Linked DNA regions of Rhinolophus ferrumequinum. The protein of the gene in region 1 interacts with the protein of each later gene in a pairwise test. Links are inferred from orthologs where the notes say so. Each region holds a gene or a part of one and is shown in the gene's direction. Other genes may lie near its edges.

Region 1 (11,284 bases):
TATATTACAATGACTAGATACTCATTGGATTTGGCAACAGGGATTTGGGGGAGGGAGGAGTAGAGAGATTTCAGAGGAGAAATGAGGGTCTAAGTCTGATTTCACTGGTTTGAGGTGTGAATAAGAGCTAGGAAGTGGATTAATTGCTGACTACTTTTCTGAGAAGGTTGGCTATGAAGAGAAGTAGGCAGCAGTATTGAAGGAGAGAGAGATGGTAACATTGAAAGAGGAATAATTATGTAAGAATCCAAACTACAGGCATCATGCAAACATTTTTACTACAGGAATCTAGCCCAGCAAGAAACATTGATCTAGATAAAATCGGTTAGTTGATAAACATACGTAATTTCTAATCCTGGTTCTGTGACCATCTGCATATAAAGAGGGTCTAAAATAAGGATAATAACACCTACATTCCCCGTCTCAAAGAATGATAGCTATGAAATGAGAGAAGGCACTTTAAAATTGAGCCAGTATGCAAATGAATTAAGCAGAGGAGATGAGGATTCAGAAACTGCAGGGAAAACCAAGGGCGTCTTCAGAAAGCGCCCACCACTTTTGACCTTCTTGTAGCCTCTCTACTTGAAGCTCTCTGCCCACTCGGGAATGGGAGTGTTTGAATGCCCACCCGTGGGCTGTTTGTGTATCTGCTGCTCAGCCTCCCCCTATTCTTTCCTCCCTTCCGCCCAGTACATTGTGAAGTGCCATGGCAACACACTGCTGCCCCAGTTCCTGGGGATGTACCGCGTCAGCGTGGACAGTGAGGACAGCTACATGCTTGTGATGCGCAACATGTTCAGCCACCGTCTTCCTGTGCACAGGAAGTATGACCTCAAGGTAAGGAGAGGAGAGCGAGGGCGGAGGGGGTGCTCCTCATCGCCTGAGAGTGGGAAGGACCCGGGAAGGCACTGGATGATTCCTTTGAAAGAAAGAAGGCTATAGGTTTGAATACTTGTCTTAGGAGCTGGGTGTTGACTGTTCTTTAAGCCACTTCTGCTGACTTCATCTTTGGGTCTCTCTCCACAGGGTTCCCTTGTGTCCCGGGAAGCCACTGATAAGGAAAAGGTGATACTAATTTTAGGGTGAGGGATAGGGGAGGGATGAAGATGAAAGGGATCTTCTTAGGATAAAGAGGCACGTATTACCAGCTATTTATTCTTATCTTAAACCCCTGACTAGGAGAGAGATGTAACCTTGTACCAATCCAGGGATTGTGTGGAAGGGGCAGTGGGAACAGCTGCTTTGTCACTGGCGTGGTTTATTATTCCCTTTGGAAGGTTTGGGGATGGGTGAGAATGTCAGACTTAAAGAGCACAATGCTTACCTCCCACCTCCTACTCTGGCCTCTCCTAGACAAGCAGCTACTTTTGCTTAAGAAGAAAGAAAAGTCAGCATCGAGGGCCTTGATGAAAACCATAAGCAGAAAGTAGTGAGCTGTGATTTGGGGTACATCTACAGTGACTGAGTCTGGGGAAGCCACTGGAAGTGAGAACAGACTGGGGGCCAGCATCCCGGTGTGGAGTCAGATGAGAGAGGGGCTGTCAGGTCTCTCTCTCCTAGAGCCCACTGAGTTCCACATAGAGCCTTAGAGAGAGCAGGGTTCTCTGAGGCCTTGGGGGAAGGGATAGCTTCCCAAGGTGTCCCTTTACCTATTCTCAGGTTAAAGAATTGCCCACTCTTAAGGATATGGACTTTCTTAACAAGAACCAGAAAGTTTATATTGGTGAAGAAGAGAAGAAAGTATTTCTAGAGAAGCTGAAGCGAGATGTGGAGGTGATGATTGGGGTGCTCTGGGAAATGGTCTTGTTTCCTTTCTTGCTTCCCTGGGGGGCAGTTGTCTCTCCATTCACGATCTGAGGGAACTCCTCCCCTTTATTCTTTGGGTTCTCTGCATGTCGGGGAGTTGAGTATGAGACATGAAAAATCCCTAGAGGTGACCCATAGAGGAGGTGGCTGGAATGAGCTAAAAGAATGATCTTAGACACCAGGACATTTTGTTACTAGAGGAAAATGGTATACTCCCAACCCTCAATTTTTATACATCCTTTCTCCAGGAGAGCCCCAGAAATTCAGGGGTGGAGGTATAAGGGTAGTACCTGGGAGTGGGGAGGGAGATCTGGGGTGTCTGATTTATCGGTGGGTCTCAGTTCCTCGTGCAGCTGAAGATCATGGACTACAGCCTTCTGCTGGGCATCCATGACATCATTCGGGGCTCTGAAACCGAGGAGGAAGGGCCAGTGCGGGAAGAGGAGTCAGAGGGGGATGGGGACTGTGGCCTGACCGGACCTCCAGCTCTGGTGGGCTCCTATGGCACCTCCCCCGAGGGTATCGGTGGCTACATCCATTCCCATCGGCCCCTGGGACCTGGAGAGTTTGAATCCTTCATTGATGTCTACGCTATCCGGAGTGCTGAGGGTGAGAGAGATCCTGGAAATTTTGAGGTGGGGATGATGGTCCTTGGGGGATGGAGACCAGGGTGGTGGGTGGAGAGTCCAGTTAGGTTTTCAGAACAGATCTAACTGGTTCCTGGGGAGAGGGAATTGGGACTGTGCTTGTCCTTCATTGCTGGTTACTCTCCCCAGGGGCCCCTCAGAAGGAGGTGTATTTCATGGGCCTCATTGACATCCTGACACAGTATGATGCCAAGAAGAAAGCAGCTCATGCAGCCAAAACTGTCAAGCATGGGGTGAGGGTTCCCCAGGGCCTTTCCTTTCCTGTCTTGAGTTCACTATTCTTTGTGAAGAGAACCTCTTGTGCTAGAGCAGTGGGTGGCAAAAGGATGAAGGGTTGGGTGTAGAAATGATGTGGAATGGAATGGAGTATGGGAAATGGGAGAGTGATGGGGTGACCTGACACCATGTTCCAAATCTCTTCTCACAGGCTGGGGCAGAGATATCTACTGTCCATCCTGAGCAGTATGCTAAGCGGTTCCTGGATTTTATTACCAACATCTTTGCCTAAGAGACTCCATGGTGACTGCTGCTTTATGTTCAAGGTGGTGGGGTTCTTCAGAGAGGCTTGGGGGAATTGTGGATATTCTGGCCACTACTTCTCTTCCTCTTTGCTAAATTCAGGCTACAGGCTCTGTTGAGTAGGTTCTTCGTGGCCCTCAGAAATACATCCTTTCTACCCTTTGTCCAGTTTTCCTCCCTCTCTCCCTCTCCTCCAAGAAGTCTGCTTGATTTGTTAGAGTGTAATTGTTGACTCTCAAGTGCCTTGATCTTTGTAAAATGTCCCGTTGTTTCTGTAACATAGGAGGAGCTGGGGGAAGGGGGTTGTTTGCTGTCTTCAGGACCTGATTGGACAGATGGACCTGGCTCAAGCAACTACTCTGGATGCACTTTGCTGTGTGGGATGAACTAAGTGTCTGAATTTTGCTGATAACTTTATAGAACTTATTATGGAATGCTTCCTTCTGGTAGGCCCTGGGATGGAAGACTTTCATGATACTACAGATGTGGGTGCAGGAATGCACGCATATGATGGGATATGGCCAGTTTCACACACACAAGTGGGGTGGAGAGTGGTCAGCAGGCTGGCACCTCATGCAGGTGGGACCTAAGAGGACTCTTGTGATTATGCAGGGAACTGGAGAAGGTCTCTGTCAAGGATTAACTATTCTCCAATCTCTTCCCTTACCCCACTTCCACTACCACCCCTGTACTTGTGGGTGCAGGAGCCCAGAGATGGATGGCCACAGTGTTCAAGCCTAGGTGAAAGTGTTTGACTTCTGCTGCTCTTCCCCAGGATCACACACCCCCCCTGGCCCTGGAACCCTTTGGTGAGGGTATGGCCAGTTCTGGAGGCTGGGATGATGGGCCAGGGGTATAAGGTAGATTCCGCATGTTAAATTTCCCTTCTTCATGTCTAGCCATCCCTGAAGTTTTATTCCCAGGAGAAGGGAATATCGCTACCTGGGTCAACCCCGGCCATTTTAAGAGGATGGAGGTCTCAATTATGGGAACCTTTTCTGGAGGTGTGTGCCTAGCATACTTCCTTCCCCCACCCACTCTCAAACCCTTTCCCCAGTTGGATTTGTTATTCTGTTCTCTTCTGTCCCGTCTTATACTGCTACTGTGTTTCCCAGGGGACAGATGGCCGCCTTTGTCATCTTCATTCTCCACCCCCAGAGAGGAATCAGAGCCATAACTCAATCACCCTGCCCCCTCCAAAGATAGTTGAGTTGATGCATGATATTCTCAGAATGTAGAGGACCATCATGAGCCCAGATAGCGTCCTCCCCTCCCGCCAATGCCTTTCGGGCTAAGGCAGCCATTCTTGCTATCCTCCATACCCCTTGAGGCTCCTACATTTTTTTCTTAAACACAAAGATGGGCACCAGCAACTGGCCTGTGGGGATGCAAAGATTCTTTTCTCTGTATCTGGCTGGACTGATCTGTCTCACAAGAAGTCATGAGGTCGTAAAGAATTCTTTCTCCCCTCCATCTTCTCCAAAGAAAGAAGAGTCCCCAGTTAAGGATTGGAGCCCCTGTGATATCATCCTGTCTGGAGCCTGATGGATCTTTTTCATTCCAACCATCTACCTTTCCCCTGTTGAATGCAATAAAACTCCATGACACCAGCAACTGTTCTTTAGAAATGTGTTTTCTGACCATGTGGCTAATGTATCATGAGCAGTATGGTCTTCATTTGTTGCTTCTGATTTTCATCTTTTTTTATTAATACAAAAGATCTTGTGTATTTACTCCCATTGCCGTCACTATATAGAAATTAAATTATTGAATCCAAATCCCTTCACAGAAATGCCTCTTTGTTTGTTTGTTTGGTTTGGTTTTCCTTTTCTAAAGAAGCCTGTGCTTAGGGGTACACGGACCAGGTGAAGAATTCTGATCTTTAAGGTACTGGTCCCCTAACTAAGGGTGTGGGTTTCTAGATAGATGGCTGTAAACTTAAAAGTTTGTGAGGATTGTGCATGGGAATGAAAACTTACTCTCCCACTTTGTGGCCGTTCAGCTATAGGGGGGCCAGGGAGAGCTGAAATGATGTGACCTTCCCTTTTCCCCCAGGGTCCTGGGCTTGGTCACATCTCCAACTCTGTAAAGGTGATAGTCTGTCAGCCCAGCAGCTAAAAGAGAAGGAATTCAGTGTTCCCCCAGGCTTCCTGGGAAAGATGTCCTCTGCCTGGAGGGCAGGAAGAGTACAACAGGGTCCTGGGAAAGGGAAGAAAGTGACCAGCCCTCCAGCTCAGAAGGGGAGTGAAGAAAGGGGATGGGTGGCAGAGGTTGTTGCCAGTCTGGAAGACCCAGTATGGCTTGGCCAAGGAGGTCTGGACTGGTGGAAAAACCTGGCTTGATGTGACCCCAGGGAAGTGAGTTGGACTAGGGGCGGGGATTGCTCTGATGTGGGAAGCAGAACTGAGCAGAGTTTTTTTTTTCTTTGAGAGTTTTTAACTCTATTTGAACCATAGACTTGACACTACCACCACCTCATGGCACTTGAAAAAAAAACGTATTCACTTCCCATTCTGCACCAACTTCAGTTTCCCTGTCGTGGAAAGAAAACAATCAGAGAAGCACCAATACCCATCTGGGAGCGGGTTGTGGGGGTCACAATCTAGGAAAAGGCAAGAGATGAGGGATTGAAATAGTTTAGTCCAGGCGTTTGTTTATTTTTTAGATCCAGCGCTTTCCTTTCTACTATGACTCATCCCATATTATTCCTCAAAGACCCTGATAGCATAAGGATCACAAAATAATTGAGCCCTCCTCCCCATCTACCTAGACCAGCACTCCTCTGTAGCTAGAAGCTGCCAAGCAGCTGGCTGGGAAAGAAAAAGCGAGAGGGCTCCTCCGGGAGTGGGTAGCGAGAAAGGTTGCGTCTTGTAACGGATTTAACCTCCTACCCTCAGTTCCACGACGCCACTCCTTCCCTCCAAAGACTGGGAGGGCGCCTCCATTTTTGTTTTGGGGCGGAAGGGCAGGGTCTTGTGGATAGAAGGGGTCAAAGGAAACGGTCATTGTCACCTGGGAGGGGGAGGAGGTGCAGTTCTCCTTCCCTTTCCCTCACAGTCTGCACCCCTTGCACACTACCCCCACCTTCAAGGGGTCTCCCCCCCCCCTTGTTGCTAAGGCCCAGGCCGTCATCCCAGCAACAGCCTCAGTCATGTGACCGGCAATGGCGGCGCTGACGAGAGGTAGGTGAGCCCGGCGCCCCCACACCCACCGCGCGCCCCCCCCGGACCCGCTCGCACCCCTCGTGCGCTCTCCCGCTGCCCTTGTGCCCCCTCCTCTGTTTCATTCCTCCGTGCGGGGCTCCGGGGCCCCCTCCACGTTTGGTGGATCCTCTTTTTGTTATCCTCCAGCCCTGGCCTCCATTTGGGGGTTTTGGGGACTGCGATCGCGCCAACATGCACCCATACCCAGTGGTAGGGCTCCGGGGGGCTCCACGAGATGGGGAGACGGGGACTTGGGGAGTTGGTTCCGGGTCGGGTCTTGCAGGAGGTCGTGGGGGGAGGGGTGCAGCAGGCTCAGCGGATGCCCCCAGGGACCCTTGCCCTTCCCTGCTGCCCCTGCTGTCGGTCCCTGTCTGGAGGGAGGGACTGGCCCCGTGTCCCGCCTGGGTTGCCCCAGAGGAATCTAGAGACCCAGCATAAACTGGCCCCGCCTCCCTTTTCTGTGCCATCAGGACTTGGAGCTAAGGACACCTAGGTCCTGGCTTCTCTCTGATGAGGGGTGGAGGGTGTTCCACCTGGATAGACAGTACGAGCTGAGGCTCTAGGGGTTCCAGTTTCACTTTCTGAATCTCGAGGTGCATCTGGCCTTGAGGGGTCTATGACAGAGACACAAACGAAGAGCCGCTCCCCTTGGGATCACTCATGGCCCCTCTTTCTATTTGAGCTGCATTTGGAGGTTGTAGGTGCTGAACATGGCAAGACTCAGGGGAAACCTCAGACTCCTCCGGCGGAGCCTCCGCGTGAGCCCCACCCCTCCCTAAATGCAGACTAGATTGCTGACCGGCTTGCACTTCGTGTGCTGGGTTTGAAAGGTGACAGTGAGAACTTTGTTATTGCAGGGGCTGCTGCCACTTAGTTTCCATTCCAAACGGACTTCAGCAGAAGGGACTGGTTTGGCTCTCAAGGAAGGCTCCCCAGCAATAGGGACTGAATTATCTGGGAATGTGGAGCACAGGAAATATTCCTGTCCATGGGATCTGAGGGAGGTGGCAAGAAAGACCTTCATCTGTGTGGGCTTTCCCCTCCCTGACTTACCTATGCTCTAGGATTTCTTGAGAGCCTCAGAGCTGGGGAAGAAAAGAGGAAAGTTAGCATGTTGAAATTCCTTATTTAACAACTTGGGGAGAGGCTGGGGATGGAATTCTGCAGGAGATAAGGAGAGGTAATGAAAGTTTTTGTTTTGTCTCTGGGCAGACTGGGGAAAATGGTAACATATGTCATCATAACCCTTTACCCTCCCCCCTCCCTCCAGTCCTGGTCAGCTGAGTGTGGGAACAGAAGGATTTCTGCTTCTGTCATCGTCCATGAGCTTTCCAGGTATCTGCCTCCTGAGGGAACCTCAGCTTTCACCTTTAAGTTGGTTTCCTCCATTCTATGTTCAAGTAATGCCATTCCCACTAATTTACACCCAGGTTCCCATCTCTGGTATGTGGGCTGCTGGGTTGGGGCATATGGGAAGAGGGAAAGGGGTTTCTCACTTACCCTCCTTTTCCTGTCCACCTACCAGGTCACACCACCTACAAGTAGGGAGCAGGGACAGAGAGAGAGCCTGCATGCCATTTCTAAGCTCTTCAGGATCAAAGTGAGCAAAAAGGAGGGTCGAAAAGTCTCCCTCTCTTTTACAGAACCCAGTTTTCGCCCAGGGAGAGGGAGGGGCAGATTGTTTCTGTGATCTTGGGAGGAGTGAAAGGAGAACCAAGACTGATGCTTGGCTTAGATGAGAATAATAATGTTTAGAAACTTCCTTACTCTTCTGTGGGTGCCGGGGTTTGAAAGAAGAAGAGATAGAAAAAGGAAAAGAACTTGGGGGAAGAGTTGGAGGTTGGACTTTGAGAAAGTAGAGATAATTTAGGGTTGGAAAAGAACCTGAAGTAGGAGGTACTGATATTTGTCAAATGGGGACCCCCCCCACCCTGAGTCCCTTTCACCCTGGGGGCAGTGTCGTTCGTCCTGTCCAGAATGGCAGCCTGTGGAGGCACCTGCAAGAACAAAGTGACTGTCTCCAAGCCTGTGTGGGACTTCCTGAGCAAGGAGACCCCAGCCCGGCTGGCCCGGCTTCGGGAGGAGCATCGAGTGTCCATCCTCATAGATGGCGAGACTTCTGACATCTATGTTCTCCAGCTTTCCCCACAGGGCCCTCCCCCAGCCCCTCCCAATGGGCTCTACCTGGCCCGGAAGGCTCTCAAGGGGCTGCTAAAAGAGGCAGAGAAAGAGCTGAAGAAAGCTCAGAGGCAGGGGGAGCTTATGGGCTGCCTGGCTCTGGGGGGTGGGGGAGAGCACCCTGAGCTGCACCGCCCAGGCCCACCCCCTCTCCGAGCAGCCCCACTCCTGCCCCCAGGGGCACGGGGTCTCCCCCCACCTCCTCCTCCCCTGCCTCCTCCTCTTCCTCCCCGCCTTCGGGAGGAGGCAGAAGAGCAGGAAAGCACCTGTCCCATCTGTCTGGGGGAGATCCAGAATGCCAAGACATTGGAGAAGTGCCGGCACTCATTCTGTGAAGGCTGCATCACCCGGGCCCTGCAGGTGAAAAAGGCCTGCCCCATGTGTGGCCGCTTCTATGGGCAGCTGGTGGGCAACCAGCCCCAGAATGGGAGGATGCTGGTCTCTAAGGACGCCACGCTCCTACTGCCCAGCTATGAGAAATACGGCACCATCGTCATCCAGTATGTCTTCCCACCCGGTGTCCAGGGGGTAAGGAGACTTCGGCCTGCCCTTACCCTTTGGTTTTTACCCCAAGCTCCTTCTCTGACCTAGGAAAGCTGGGGGAGGGGAGTGTGTTTGTTAGATGTGATACAGTCTTGCTGCCTTCCAGAAGGCATTCCCATTCAGTGCCCTGGAGTTAGGAGGTCCCCTTGAGGTCCAACTTTTCCATCCCCACGACCCCAAGGCACACATGAAAATCAGGTATGAAAGAAAGGAATTGAGTACTATTTCCTTGATGAACTTGGATACCAACAACTATTCTTGGCAGAGGTGAATTCTCTGGAGATGGTGGCTCAGATGCAGGCATGCACAAGCAGGAAGGGATCTGACCCTCCTAACTAGGAGTGTTACTCCATTCCAGATTTATGAGAGAGGAAAACCTCAATGACAGTGGAAGTTTAAAACAGAAATGTTCAAGAGCCTATAGTTGTCTTCCTGCTTGACAAAGAGTAATTTCCAGTTCTTTTCAGAGGGATGAGGAAGCTCTGAAGAAGAGTAATAGAAAAATGGAACAGGTTAGACAGTGCAAGAAGTATTGGGAGTGTTTTCAGGTGGAGAAGGGAAGGCTGAAAGATAAATTATTCTCAGTCTTCACATTTCTGCTGAGTTTTCTGGAGAGTAAGGACCAGCTACCTTCCATCACTTCTGAGAATCCATTTGTTGCTGAATTGAGACTTGAGGGATTGAGATGGGGAGAAAGAACTCTTAACAATAAGGGTTTTGTCCAGACACAGGCTCCTGCTGCCCAGACCCTAGAGTCTCTCCTTCCCTGAAAGGCTGTCAGCCTGTTCTTGCCCTGTCAGCATTAGCTGGGCGTGCACAGACAGAAGGCTGGCCAGCATGACCTTCCACTGGCATCGTGGCCTTAAGATGCCCAGCTGCTCATTGCCTACTTTGCTTCCCCCTCCTCCCAGGCTGAACACCCAAACCCAGGAGTTCGGTATCCTGGCACCACACGGGTGGCCTACCTCCCGGACTGCCCTGAGGGCAACAAGGTGCTGACCCTGTTCCGCAAGGCGTTTGACCAGCGTCTCACCTTCACTATTGGCACGTCCATGACCACAGGGAGACCGAATGTCATCACCTGGAATGACATCCACCACAAGACCAGCTGCACAGGGGGACCCCAGCTGTGCGACACTCCTTCATTCCCCTTTCTTTGGCTCTGCCCCTTCGGTCCATTTCCACTGAGGGAACAACATCAACCCCCTCCTTCTGGGAGCCTCCTAACTGGAGAGGACCACCCCCAAATTATTCAACCATCTCTTCCATCCCAGTTTCTCCTACATTCAACCTGGTCCTGATGTGACCAGCTTAACCTATAGAAATAATTGGGCTAAATTATCTTGGGTTTGGATTACTTTAGGGAAGAGGGAGTGGGGCCACAGTGGGGCACCCAGAATGAGAGTGAGCATGGGGGTAATATGAGTAAAGCCGAACAGCTAACCCTGACCCTCATTTCTCTTTGCTCCCAGGTTTGGGTACCCGGACCCCACCTACCTGACCCGAGTGCAAGAGGAGCTGAGAGCCAAGGGTATCACAGATGACTGAAGGACATCCCCTTTGCCAAGGCCCCTGCCATTCTCTTCCACTAGGACCCAACGGAAGCCTCTGTTCTCCTCTCTCCCTCTGCCCCCCCAATCACAGAGTAGGGGACCTGTCTGCCTAGGGAAGGAGTTCAGAGAGGGAGGGGGTAATCCCTTCCCCTGTCCACCCACAGGCCAAGTGCTTCAGTGCACTGTGAGCCACTCCCTTCTGACAGATGCTGATCTGGAAGGCTCTGCTTCCCTCCTCCCCTTGTACATACTCCCAGTCTTCCTGCCCCCTCTGTTGCCCTTGGCTTTTTCTGGTATGTGCTGTGCTCCAGTGACTAAGCTGAGAAAGGACCTGGGTGGGATGGGGAAGGTCTCTTGAACACCCCCCACCCCATACTGTTCACTGCTGAACTTCTGTGCAGGGGAGCCATGACGTGTGTTCTTCAGAAGCAGTTCCCCATCTACCTTAACCTTGTCCTTTCCTACGTCTGTTTCTGTCAGTCTGTCTTTCTCCCACTCTTCTCTGCCCCCTTTAAGGAGCCTCCTTACCCTGTTCTGGAATCGCCGCCAGACTGTAGCTTTTAATTTAATAAAAATAAAGTAAAATATGCAACTCTCTATGCCACACCCGGTCTGTTCTGTGGACTGGGTGGGGGTGGGGTGGGAGCGGGACCTGCTGCAAAGGAGAAGGGGGTGGTAATCAGGAAATCCCAGTGGGTCTCCCCTAGTCTCTCTGCCTGCAGAGGGCCTGGGGAAACAGCATGTACTTAGTGGGCTCCACAATAACACTGCGAAGTCCCGGGTCACGCTTCAACTTTGGAATCGGGATTAAGAGGGGTTTGTTGTTGAACTATGG
Region 2 (11,408 bases), on another chromosome or scaffold:
ACATTTACAGAAGAAAAACTAACTATAATAATGAATCCATCTGGATTTTATTCATATTTATACCAATATAGTCATGAAATGTAATTTTTAATCTTTTTTTTTTTTTTTTAATGAAGAAAGGGGCCCCCAAGGTGAAAGTGCCTAGGGCCCCTGAAAGTCAGAATGCAGCCCTGGAATGAATGTACCTATAAAAGAAACGCCAGGAGGAATTCAGTGCGGGAGAAGAAAGTCTAATAGTCATACTGAATTGAGATAGAGAAGGACGACAGCATATTAAAATTGATAACCAAATTTGTCATTTGACTAAATTGTTACTGAAGCAGGTTAGTTAGCATGGTTGGTTATTTAGACAGGAAGGTCCCTGGTGGAATAAACAAAAAACAGCCATATCCTGAAATTCCAGGTTCTGGAATATCTCCTTCACTCCAGGACAAAGATATGAGACTGCGCCTTGAGGTTAATAAATTATCTCAAATCCCTTTTGGCCGGACAAAGGAGCAGATCTGATAGATAGGAATGGGTTGGTTCGTTAATCCCTTCAGGATGAGCAAACAGGACAAACCTGATAGATGAATTCCAGTAGAAGTCTCCAGCCCCCTTCCCCAAACAGGCAAGGGAAGGTATAAAAGTAAGAACTTTTGCCTCAGTCACTGGGCTTCCCAGTTTTGGGTACCCCTTCCCGCTCGGGAGCTGCAACCTCTTCCCCTGCCTCTAATAAACTATCTTCCTTTAGAACTTTTTGCCTCTCCCTAGTCCGTGTGTCCATTCTTGGATTCAGGCGACACGATCCCAGCCCACACCCAGAAACTGTCGACAGATCCAACATCATTTACATCATTACTTCAGATGAAACTTGTTTTACTTTTCCTGGAGTTTTCCTGAATATTGTTTTCTGTAGAGTTGCTTTTATACAGATTATTTAGCAAAGTTCAGGTTTCAGAGAATTGATTTGGCTCAATAAGTTTAGGTTCTGCTGTTTTCCACCTTTCTATCAATAAAACTTATGGTATTATAAAAGCAAAGAAAGAAATATGCTGAACAAAGCTATCAGATTTTAATTACATTCAGTCCCCTAACTTAGTCATTCTAACACAATTATTCGATTTGAGGTGGTTGTTCTGGTGTGTCCTGAGCTTTGTGTGATCTGCCTCAAGGCTATGATCTGGGCAAGCAGGAGAGACACTCTGTTCTGTATCATGTCAGGAAAAGTGCCTTTTGGCTATGTTTAAAGGACAGGACCAACTTTAGGTTCCCTAAGGAGCCAGCTATAGAAAGCTTAGGACACTGCTGTCTTGCAGGCAGCACTAAAGTAGATTTTCAGCCTCTTCAATACCAAGGCCATCCCTACCAGTTGAGCTCCACATGGAGAGATCTTAATGGGACCTTCTCAGTGAATGGAATCAGAGGAGTCCTCTGTAGTGAGTAATTCTGAAGCAATCCTTTCCTGGAATAATAGTCTACCTGAAGACAAAGTTTACATCCAGATATTTACATATATATATATATATATATATATATATATATATATATATATTTACATATATATATCCCTATACTTGGGAGATTGTCATAGTGTAAATCAGGAACAGCCTTCTCGTTAGTGACAATCTTGTAATAAAACTCAGGAAACAAGACAATAGGAATTGGCTTCCAGGGACCTGAACCTTTCTGCCCATACGAGTGTTGGTTCATTTCCATGCTTTTTATGATTTCTGCCATTGGCAGAAATTTTCATACTTTCTATGTTTGGTTTTTAAATGACTCAATTTTTTATTATTAAAAAATAGCACATTTGAGTCCATTGAGAAAATAGAAAAAGTAGAAGTTGCTGTTAACCTACTGCATTGACGAAGAAAGCAATGGCATCCCAGTCATTTCCTTGATTGTTGATGAGGTTAAATATTCGTCTTTTTTGAGTAGCTGTGTTTCCTTTTTGATCAAATATTGATGTCCTTTGTCTTTATAGTACCTATTGGAGTTGCTTTTTTTTTTATATCAAGTTGTAGGAACTCTTTATATAATAAATATAATTTAAGTGGCAAAAAAAAGAGAGAAAGAAACATCATGAAAATAGAATGATGTTACTAAATTCTAGTTGATTCTGCTTGCTGAAATCTCTGTACCTCCTTCCTTCCGTGCCTCCACATTCCTTGTGAAAAAGGGAAATTAACATGTGTTAGGTGTGAAAGACTGACTACCACCAAACTGACACTTTGTCCTTGAGAAATCAAGAAGGACCAGACAAGACTAAAAAAGAAAAAGCTTCTTCAATCTGCGATTTATTGTGATTTAGTACCACCTAAAATTGCTTGACACCCCTTCAGTGGGTTCATCCCGTACCTGGGGGACACCGGATTTGTTGGTGATGGAGACGACGATGATAATTGATTATTATATTATCATGGTCCAGAATTTTTATGAGTGCTCACTCTATGTCAGGCCTTGGGCTAAAATTTTGCATATTAAAATCTCACGTAATCCTGACTTTGGGAATGAGGTATTATTATCTCCATTTTATAGGTAAACTAAAGCTTAGAGAGGTAAGTAACTTGCCCCAAATCACTTAGAAAATGTCAGAGCTTTAATCCAGGTCTGATTGACCCTGAATTCCATGTTATTTATCTCTAGGTTATGCTTCCTATTTTTGTTTCCCTCTTTTAATTTTCTTTGAAAAACATATTGTATGCATTTATAGTTTTGAATGGATAGTTATTCACATGGTAGAGAATTTTAAAAGTACAAAACAGTGGAAAGGAGGTCTCCTTCCTACCCCATCCTAGGACACACAGAATGGATAAACCACTCATTAGTTTCTTAAGCATCCTTCCAGATGAGTCTACAACTCATTAAAGATAATTTTCAGAAAAAGGCAAAATCATGCCTCTCGTACAGATATAAAATGGACACATGTTCAAGACTTCATTCTACTCATTAATCAACAAGGGAACCAGGCAGATGTCAGAATTAAAGAGAATCTGAAAACAGACACATTTGTAGATCAAGAATATTGAAATAAACATGTAAATAAAACAAAACTGGTTTTTCCATGGGGTGGGGAAAAGAAAGTCAATTAAACTTCTGTTGGACAGAAAGAATTTGCAGGTCTATAAGAATTATTTTGCATGCTATAAGTTACTACAATTTAGGGAGTTGTACAATAACTCAAAGATGATGAAAGGCAGACAATCTGAAAAAGGTGTACTGTATGTAAGGCAACATTTTTTCCCTCCCAAACCGATAACTACTTTATCAGGTTCTTAAGTATCCTCCAGGTTAGTCTCTAACATGCAAACATAAATGTACAGAAGGTGCCAAAAAAATGCATACACATTTTAGGAAAGGAAAACTGTATTAAAATTGTAATAATATATACCATAACAAACAATGAATACAAGTCACGTTTGACTTCTGCAATTACAAGAAGTGCTCAAAGTGGTTACCATCAGCGTGCAGGCACTTCTGATTACAGCGAACTACTGCTTGAGCAACGTTGACCAAAGTCTCCACTTGTATACATTTTTTTGGCACCCACGGTATCTACTGGAGTCTATAAATCACAGCTGAGGTGCCATATTGTCTATGGTGTCTGAAAAGTATTTTTTTCCCAACTCTTTTTCAGATGGTCTCTGTGACCTCTGGCAACAACAAGAGCTGTCAAAAAGGAAAGTCCTGCCTCATCCAAGTGTAGAAGATGACAATTTTTCCCTGTGAAGTCCCTGGAAGGGTCCTGACCAGGAACAAAGCACTGTCACACCTTCCAGCCAGGTACACTTCCCTGTTTGCAAAGGCCACAGCCATCATGGGGCATGAAAAAGCCCGACCCTGGGCAAGAAAGGAAAAGAGAGGGTTTGAGAGATAGCAAGTTAGTAAGTGCAAAGAGACTCCAGAGCCGGGGATCCTTACAGGGTTAGGCAGCTAAAAAAGCAGATGAGGCTGGGCAGGCCAGGAAAAACACTGTGGTGAGGACCGTGGTAAACTGGGACCTGCATTCCTGCTCTAAAGGAGCAACCCTGACTAGGCTCCAGCCAACCATTGCCGTGAGGGGTCATTGCCAAGTCTCCTGTTTTTAGAGAATCCAGGAATACAAATTTTTATGCAAAAACCTTTCAGTTTTAAAGAGAGAATATTGTAAAATTTAAATGTTATTGATTTTTGAAGAGGTAGTTTATTTACATGTTTCAAAAATTTGAAAGGAGGGGCTGGCCCGGTGGCTCAGGCAGTTGGAGCTCCAGTGCTCCTAATGCCGAAGGCTGCTGGTTCGATTCCCACATCGGCCAGTGGGCTCTCAACCACAAGGTTGCCAGTTCGACTCCTCGACTCCCACAAGGGATGGTGGGCTGTGCCCCCTGCAACTAACAACAGCAGCTGGACCTGGAGCTGAGCTGCGCCCTCTACAACTAAGACTGAAAGGACAACTTGACTTGGAAAAAGAACTGGATATACACACTGTTCCCCAATAAAGTCCTGTTCCCCTTCCCCAATAAAATCTAAAAAAAAAAAAATTTAAAGGAAATGGGATTTTAGTGAAAAGTGTTCCTCCCCATCCCATACCCAGTCACCTAGTTACCCTCCCCAAAGACCATCACAGTCTCTCATATCCTTCCAGACATGCTACAGGCATACAGAGGCAAATATTACATTATTATGACTATCACTTATTGTCCAAATATCAATTCATTACTCCTCACATTCACTATTATTAGCTCCACTTTACAGATGAGGAGATGGAGGCACCGACTGGTTAAGTAATTTGCCCAAGTTACTCAGCCAATAATAGTAGAGCTGGGACTGAATCCTGATTATTTATATCTGGGAATTACAATTTTCAAAGTTCCTCCACTTCTGTGAACTGAGCCTGGCAGTGGCCCTGGGAAGCAGGTGGGAGGTTCCACAGCCCACCCAAGGCCATGTGGCACTGGGGTGCAAATGTAGAACTAACAAGAGTCCAGGTCTCCTTGGGACTCATTCTTACACACAAAGGTCTGTACTGTGTAAGGATATGAAGGGCCATGCACATGGGCCTTCCAGCTGTGTGGGTGGTTAGGATCCATCCCAGGATGGGGAGGCTGAGCTAAATCCACGACTTTGAATTTACTCTGGGGATGCAGGACTTCTGTACGAGAAAGGAAGGTGCTGGACAGACTTTGTTCCACATTATGGAACTGCTTTCAGTTTCCATACATTGCACCTTTGCTTGCGCTGTTCCCTCATCTGGGAACACCCTCATCCCACGTTTTTACTCTAGCTAACTCACTATGCTTTGCAATTCACTTGGATTTTTTCTCTCCCAGGATACCTTTGCCCCCCCCTGAGGCTGCATCAGGTGACCCTCCTCCAGGCTCCCACAGCATCAGATGGTTCCCCATATATATCCTGTGCTTAACCACTTTGCATGAAAAATGCATTCATCCTCAAGGACAAGGAGCCCACTTTCTCATCGTGCTGTTCCCTAAAGTCAGTGCCTGACACTCAGTATAGTACATGCATGCTAATGCCCCCCCAACTGTTTTTCCAATCCTCACATAGTAGACACTTGACTAACTATTAAACCTAAGAACCCAAACCCTAAAGCAAGAGCGAATGGGTCCAAAAGCGCCTCCTTGCGGTGCTCTTCACCAAGCAAACCACCTGGGGGAAAGAAACGTCCTTGTATTTGGGCCACCGAAGGCTGCACCTCACAAAGGATCTCAAGCTGCCAGGGGAGGAGTGCTTGGAGGGCGTATAGTTTGCGTCGTCCCTACCCATTTTTAGAGATGGGGCATTGGGCCCAGAGAGGGGAAATAACTCGTCGAGGGGGCTCCGGGAATTCGCTGGCGTCTGTGTGTGTGTGGGGGGGGAGGGAGCCTCCGGGAATTCGCTGGCGGGTGTGTCTATCTGTGTGTGTGTGTGTGTGTGTGTGTGTCTTTGGGCCGCGGACTGATGGTGGAGTCCGCCGAACAGTCGGGAGCTGCGTTTGCATAGCCAACATCCTGTATTGACTTAGGGAGACTGTGTGTTTGGGGCGGCGGGGAGAATGGGGCCTCCCTGCACGGCGTCCGGCGGTGGAGCGTGAACCAGAATCCGCGCTGGAACCAGAACCCGGATGGGTAGACCCCAGCCCCGCGCCTCCGAGCGCTCACATACTGGTGCACAGCGCCCCCCAGTGGGATACAGGGATCCGGCCACGTCGCCTGCTCCTACGCCTTCGGGGTCCTCCGACAAAAAGCGCGAGATCCGGGGACCCGAGCCCACTGCGCCGCGGACCGGGCCGGGGCCCGCAGGGTCCAGCCCTCGGCGGCTCCCAGTGTCAGTCAAGGAGGCGGGGATCAGCTCCGTACCGCCCGGCGTGCGCACCAGTGGGCGGCGCGCGGGCGGGGCCCCCGGAGGTGGCGTCTCGGGGGCGGGGCGCCACCAAGCCGGAGGACAGTCTCGCTGGACTCGCTGGGTCCCACGCTCCGCGCCGAGATGACGGCGAGCAAGCGGGTGGCGAAGGTAACTGTGTGGACGACCCCTTTCTCCCGGCTCCCCTCGCTCTTCCCACCTCCTCCTCCCTCCTCTCTCTCCCCGACTCCCCTTGAGCATTTGTTTGTCCGGGTTGCGAGGCTGGCGGAGCCCTGTCATCCCCGCCCCCTCCCCGAGGAGGAGTGGGTCTTCCGGAGGGGCCAGAGCTGGAGTTTTGAGGGGCGAGGGCACGTCCGGCGGGGGTGTTGTTGGCTCCCGGAACTGCGCTGCGGATGGGGATTGAGCCTGTTCCCGCAAACTGGTTTCAGTTTCTTTTCTCCTGCCAGAAACTTGTGATTACAATTGCTTGCATCTCAGGTGACCAAGGGATTCAGGAGCCACGCTCTCTACTGGGGGTGGTTGGGGGGCGGAGGTGGGTGGGTTATGAACAGAGATAACCAGGACAAGGTCCTTGCCTTGGAATGGCCGAGGACCCACTCTTTAATTTGGTACCTACATTTGGAATCTAGAATCCTGAGAAGTCTGGATGTTGAGTAGGAGTCAGGAGCTAGGTACCCGGGGTTTTCCAGGGAGGAAAAGCTGCCAAGGCAGACCAGCAAGGTGTCCTGGAGTAGGTGTGTGCATTCACTCATTCTACAAGTGTTGAATGCCTACTGTGTGCAGGCTCCTATTCTAGGCAGAGATTAGCAAAAATCCTGCCCTCGCTGAGCTTTCTTTCCAAATAGGGAAACAATTTGAAGGGAAGGTTTGGAAGGATAGGGAGGGGAGGATTTCCCCCAGGAGGTGGAAAAACCCAGGGTGTTTGCAGGGCTGGGGTATACCGGGCAGATGGAGATAGATGGGGAAGGAAGAGCAATCTTAGTGAAGTGGGTCAGATATCCCCCGGACTTTGAGTCCCTGAAAAGTGCCCCTCCAACGTGCAGGGTGCAGGGGACAGAGTGAGGGGGGTAAAAGGGAGTGCCTGCTGTCCTCAGCCTCTGAGAAGAAAATGGTCTCATACTGGGGCACCCAGCGCAGGCGCAACCCAGAACTGGAGGCTGGCAGCAAAACGGGGCAGAGAATCTTGCCAGCCAAACTGGAAAGAGCTAGGAGCCAGTATTTGGTATTTATCCCACTGGCACAATTAAGTGACAAGCCATTTACATTACTTATTTCATCTTACTCTCACAGCAACCCTGTGACATAAGTCATATACCCCCATTTTACGGATGAGGAAGTTGAGGCTCAGAGAGAATGACTTAGATGTCATGGTCAGCCAGTAGGGAGTGAGGGAGCTGGGATTTGAGCCCAGGTTAGTGGCCTCTCTACTTTCATTTTCTGTTCCTCTGAGTCAGGTGATTTCCTCACAGGCCTCAGGAAAGAACTGTGTGTGCTCACTGGGGTTTCAACATCCTTAGCTTGGGGAAAAGTTGGAAAGAACACATCTATAACTGATAAAGTCCAAGTGTTCCCAGTTACAGTAAAATCAGGAAGTGTTCATCCCACAGCTTCTTCATTCAACCTTGGCCTTGCCAAAGAGAGCAGATGATATTGGAACTAGGACTTGAAGTAGCAGATGCTTCTAGTTTGGGGTAAAGATAAATGAGGGTAATGTCTAACCTCTATGCTGTACACCTGAAACTAAACATAGTATTTTTTTTTTAATTTTATTGGGGAATACTGGGGGACAGTGTGTTTCTCCAGGGCCCATCAGCTCCAAGTCGTCGTCCTTCAATGTAGTTGTGGAGGGCGCAGCTCAGCTCCAAATCCAGTTGCCGTTTTCAATCTCAGTTGCAGGGGGCACAGCCCACCATCCCATATGTGAATTGAACTGGCAACCTTGTTGAGAGCTCACGCTCTAACCAACTGAGCCATCCGGCTGCCCCTCTGGAAGCTCAGCGGCAGCTCATTGTCTTCAATCTAGTTGTGGAGGGCGCAGCTCACTGGCCTATGTGGGAATTGAACCGGCAACCCTGTTGTTCAGAGCTCGTGCTGTAACCAACTGAGCCAACTCGGCCGCCCCGAAACTAACATACTATTGAATGTCACCTGTAATTGGGAAAAAAAAAAGATAAATGAGGATCATAGAATATACTCTGGGCAGAAAACGCAAGAAGCAGTTTGTTGGTATGAACAGAGATGGAGTATGTGCTAGAAGCTAGCAATGGAGAACAGGGTGTGTTTATATATGGGGCCGTAGAGAAAGTTTAGGTGGTCCACAGTGTTAAAGGACCCCTCCCCAACCATGGAAGGGCTGTGGGAAGCTTCGTCTTTGCCTTTTATTTATACCAGTGTTCCTCAACCTCATCACCATTGACATTTGGGCCAGATAAATTGTTGTAGGATGTTTATGAGTATCCCTGGCCTCTACCCACTAGATGCTAGTAGCACTTTCTCATTTGTGACAACCAAAATGGTTCTAGATAGTGCCAAGTGTCCCCTGTGGGGGTAAAATTGCCCCCAGTAGAGAACCACTGGTTTACAATTATTTGGTGTTTCAGAGGATAAGACCTGCCCTTGAATGTCCTTTAATCTTGAATCTTGTAATTGCCCTCCCCCCCAATAAAAAGAGGCCTGTCGTTCCACAGGATGGACTCTGGAAGGGCTCCTTAGTCAAATAAGTTTGGGAAGTACCGCATGCTGTGGGCTCACATCTTGGAGATTCATGATACACAATAGCATATTAAATAAAGACTTTGGGAAGTCCTACAGTAAAGAAATCTGTTTAGCTTAATGTTTCCCAATGTACTTGACCATGGGACCCTTTTCCTGTAATAACTATTACCCTTGCCTATATAGTACACACTTATGCACATTTACTCTGACCGGGCCCTTTGTCTTGGTTCCTCTCCCCATTTCTGCATGGTGGGCTTTATTTTATTCCGCGTGGCCCAGCTCATTGTCACCCTGCACGAAGCCTTCTTGTTGCCTTCTCCTTTCCTTCCCCATTATGTCTCCACACATTGTCCACCTAAGCACATTCCTGTTTCCACCATTACTCCGATGAAGTTTCTGAGAGCTGGGCTCTGTCTTAGTCCAGTGTCCGTAGAGGATGCTCAGGAAAGGGCTGATGGGAGAATTCCAGGTGATTGGGCCACATTTCTGAGAAGGTGGGTCACTCCTGTCCCCTTGTTTCTCTGCTTGGTGTATAGAGTTCTGCTCTGCTGCGGTGCATCTGAGTCATTGCCCTTCCCCAGCGCGGGACGGGAGGAGTCTGACAGGCATGAGTTGACGTCTCTGCTGCCACGAGCACTGTAAGGGCATGTCATCATGCTGGACACTCAGTGGACGCTATGGAAGGAAGGGAAAGAGGGAGGGTATTAGGACCTTGTGACTCTCTAGGAAAAGGACTAGAGGACAGAGGTTAAGTGCCTTGGTTTCAAGAGGAAAGGCTCCAAGGAGAGTTGACTTTCAAGTCCTCACCTTCTGTATATTCCTCCCCGTACCTCCAGACCTGTGCTGAGGCTAACATTGGAGAAATCACTTACAGCACGTGGCACCGGGCATGACACATACCGAGTGCGCCAGAAAATGGGGGCTCTGACTTTGCCGGCTTCTGTCTCCTAGGGTGTCCTGTGTGGGACTTGGCACAGCTTGTGCTGGGGCAGGGGGCGGTGGCTGAAGTAGGGAAGACTAGCCAGTTGCCCTTCACTGTGTCCCCACAGGAGCTGGAAGATCTGCAAAAGGAGCTTCCCAGGTACCTGCGGAACCTGGTCAGCGATGATGCCAACGTCCTGGTGTGGCACACACTCCTCCTTCCTGTGAGTGGCCCCAGGATCATGGCCGTGGGTCGAGGTGACTGAGGCTAGGGCCTGGGCAGGGAGGGTTAGGATGGGCACAGTTTTCCCTGCCTTAGAGTCCTTCTTTTTACTCCCTCTGTCATTGGCAGAGGGAGTCTCTCTCTGGAGTGATTGCTTCTGAGGCTGAGGCCAACTGATGAAAAACTAAAAGACTTTTGGACTTAGCAGGAGATTCCTTCCTCAAACGGGTAGCTGCCAAACCTACCACAGAAGCTTCAGCAGACAAACAGCATCCAAAAAATAAATAAATAAATAAATAAGATCTTTTGGATCTTTGTGAAGGGAGAAGGATAAACTTCCTTTTTCCCACAGTTGGTAGAGGGTAAAGAGTAGCTTCCCAAATTATGCCAACCTTGAAATGTTATCCAGACATTTGTTATGTCAAGATCATTGTGATGCTGATCTCTTGAACACGAGAGGCATCAGTAAAAGGTTGTCAAAATAATCATGTTTTCAAAAAAAGTTATTTTTCTTAAATATTTAAAACAAAATTTAAAAGGCAAAATATAAATGATAAATAATAAACATCAAATTTTAAGATTAAAATTATTTTACAAGAGCTGAGTTGTCATTTGGTTGACTCTTGTGACATATGTTTATAAAAATTATTTGCAATTTTAGCATTCAGTGTCAATTGGAATTATGCTACCCACATTGCACCTAGACCTACATATTCACAAATTTAAGAGTAATATTGCACAGTGTTCCTCAGCCAAGTACAGTTGTTGTGAGTTCAGTGCTAATCTGAATACCTTCCAGGCCACAAATTGAAAGCAAGAAAATGGACTACTGGGAAACGAAATTTATTATATAAGAATCTATTGCGTTTATGCTATCAGAAAATAAAGATTTGATAAATTAACAAAAAAAGTTTGTTAGAATATAGCATATTTCATCCCATATCCTGAAGGGGTCAGGGATAACGGACACAAAAATGAGTGAACTGAACTGAGAATATTTTTTTCAAGAGGGGATTCTCCAATGATATTAGTGCTTCATTATATTGGAGTAGTGCTGTTCAAATGTCAAAGCTCACAGATAAGATGCAAAAATCTTTTAGCTTTTTCTGAGGCTGCACCCATGGCCTTGTCTCTGCTTCCCAGGTCCCAGCCCCTTCTTGTTATCAGGGACAAGAAGGTGAGATGTTTTCTTTATCTTTGCAGTAGTTGCCCCGTCTCTTATTTCAGA

Evidence for each region.
Region 2: the proteins of DTX3 (region 1) and UBE2L6 interact in binary tests that used the Homo sapiens proteins (3 or more experiments, as listed by UniProt). The link is inferred for Rhinolophus ferrumequinum from reciprocal best matches to the Homo sapiens genes DTX3 and UBE2L6.

What each region holds. Positions count from the first base shown.
Region 1 is NC_046293.1:56,556,015-56,567,298, forward strand, and holds DTX3 (probable E3 ubiquitin-protein ligase DTX3), read left to right. Parts: upstream 1-5,907; 5' UTR 5,908-6,154; intron 6,155-6,857; exon of another isoform or gene 6,858-7,005; intron 7,006-7,445; 5' UTR 7,446-7,510; intron 7,511-7,700; 5' UTR 7,701-7,746; coding exon 7,747-7,775; intron 7,776-8,132; coding exon of another isoform or gene 8,133-8,151; coding exon 8,152-8,881; intron 8,882-9,807; coding exon 9,808-10,025; intron 10,026-10,368; coding exon 10,369-10,444; 3' UTR 10,445-11,046; downstream 11,047-11,284. Other genes in the region: PIP4K2C (phosphatidylinositol 5-phosphate 4-kinase type-2 gamma), read left to right, coding at 691-837, 1,027-1,065, 1,660-1,773, 2,148-2,415, 2,583-2,686, 2,881-2,961. UniProt on the Homo sapiens protein: Regulator of Notch signaling, a signaling pathway involved in cell-cell communications that regulates a broad spectrum of cell-fate determinations.
Region 2 is NC_046294.1:11,572,032-11,583,439, forward strand, and holds the start of UBE2L6 (ubiquitin/ISG15-conjugating enzyme E2 L6), read left to right. Parts: upstream 1-6,341; 5' UTR 6,342-6,444; coding exon 6,445-6,471; intron 6,472-10,085; coding exon 10,086-10,181; intron 10,182-11,408. UniProt on the Homo sapiens protein: Catalyzes the covalent attachment of ubiquitin or ISG15 to other proteins. Functions in the E6/E6-AP-induced ubiquitination of p53/TP53. Promotes ubiquitination and subsequent proteasomal degradation of FLT3.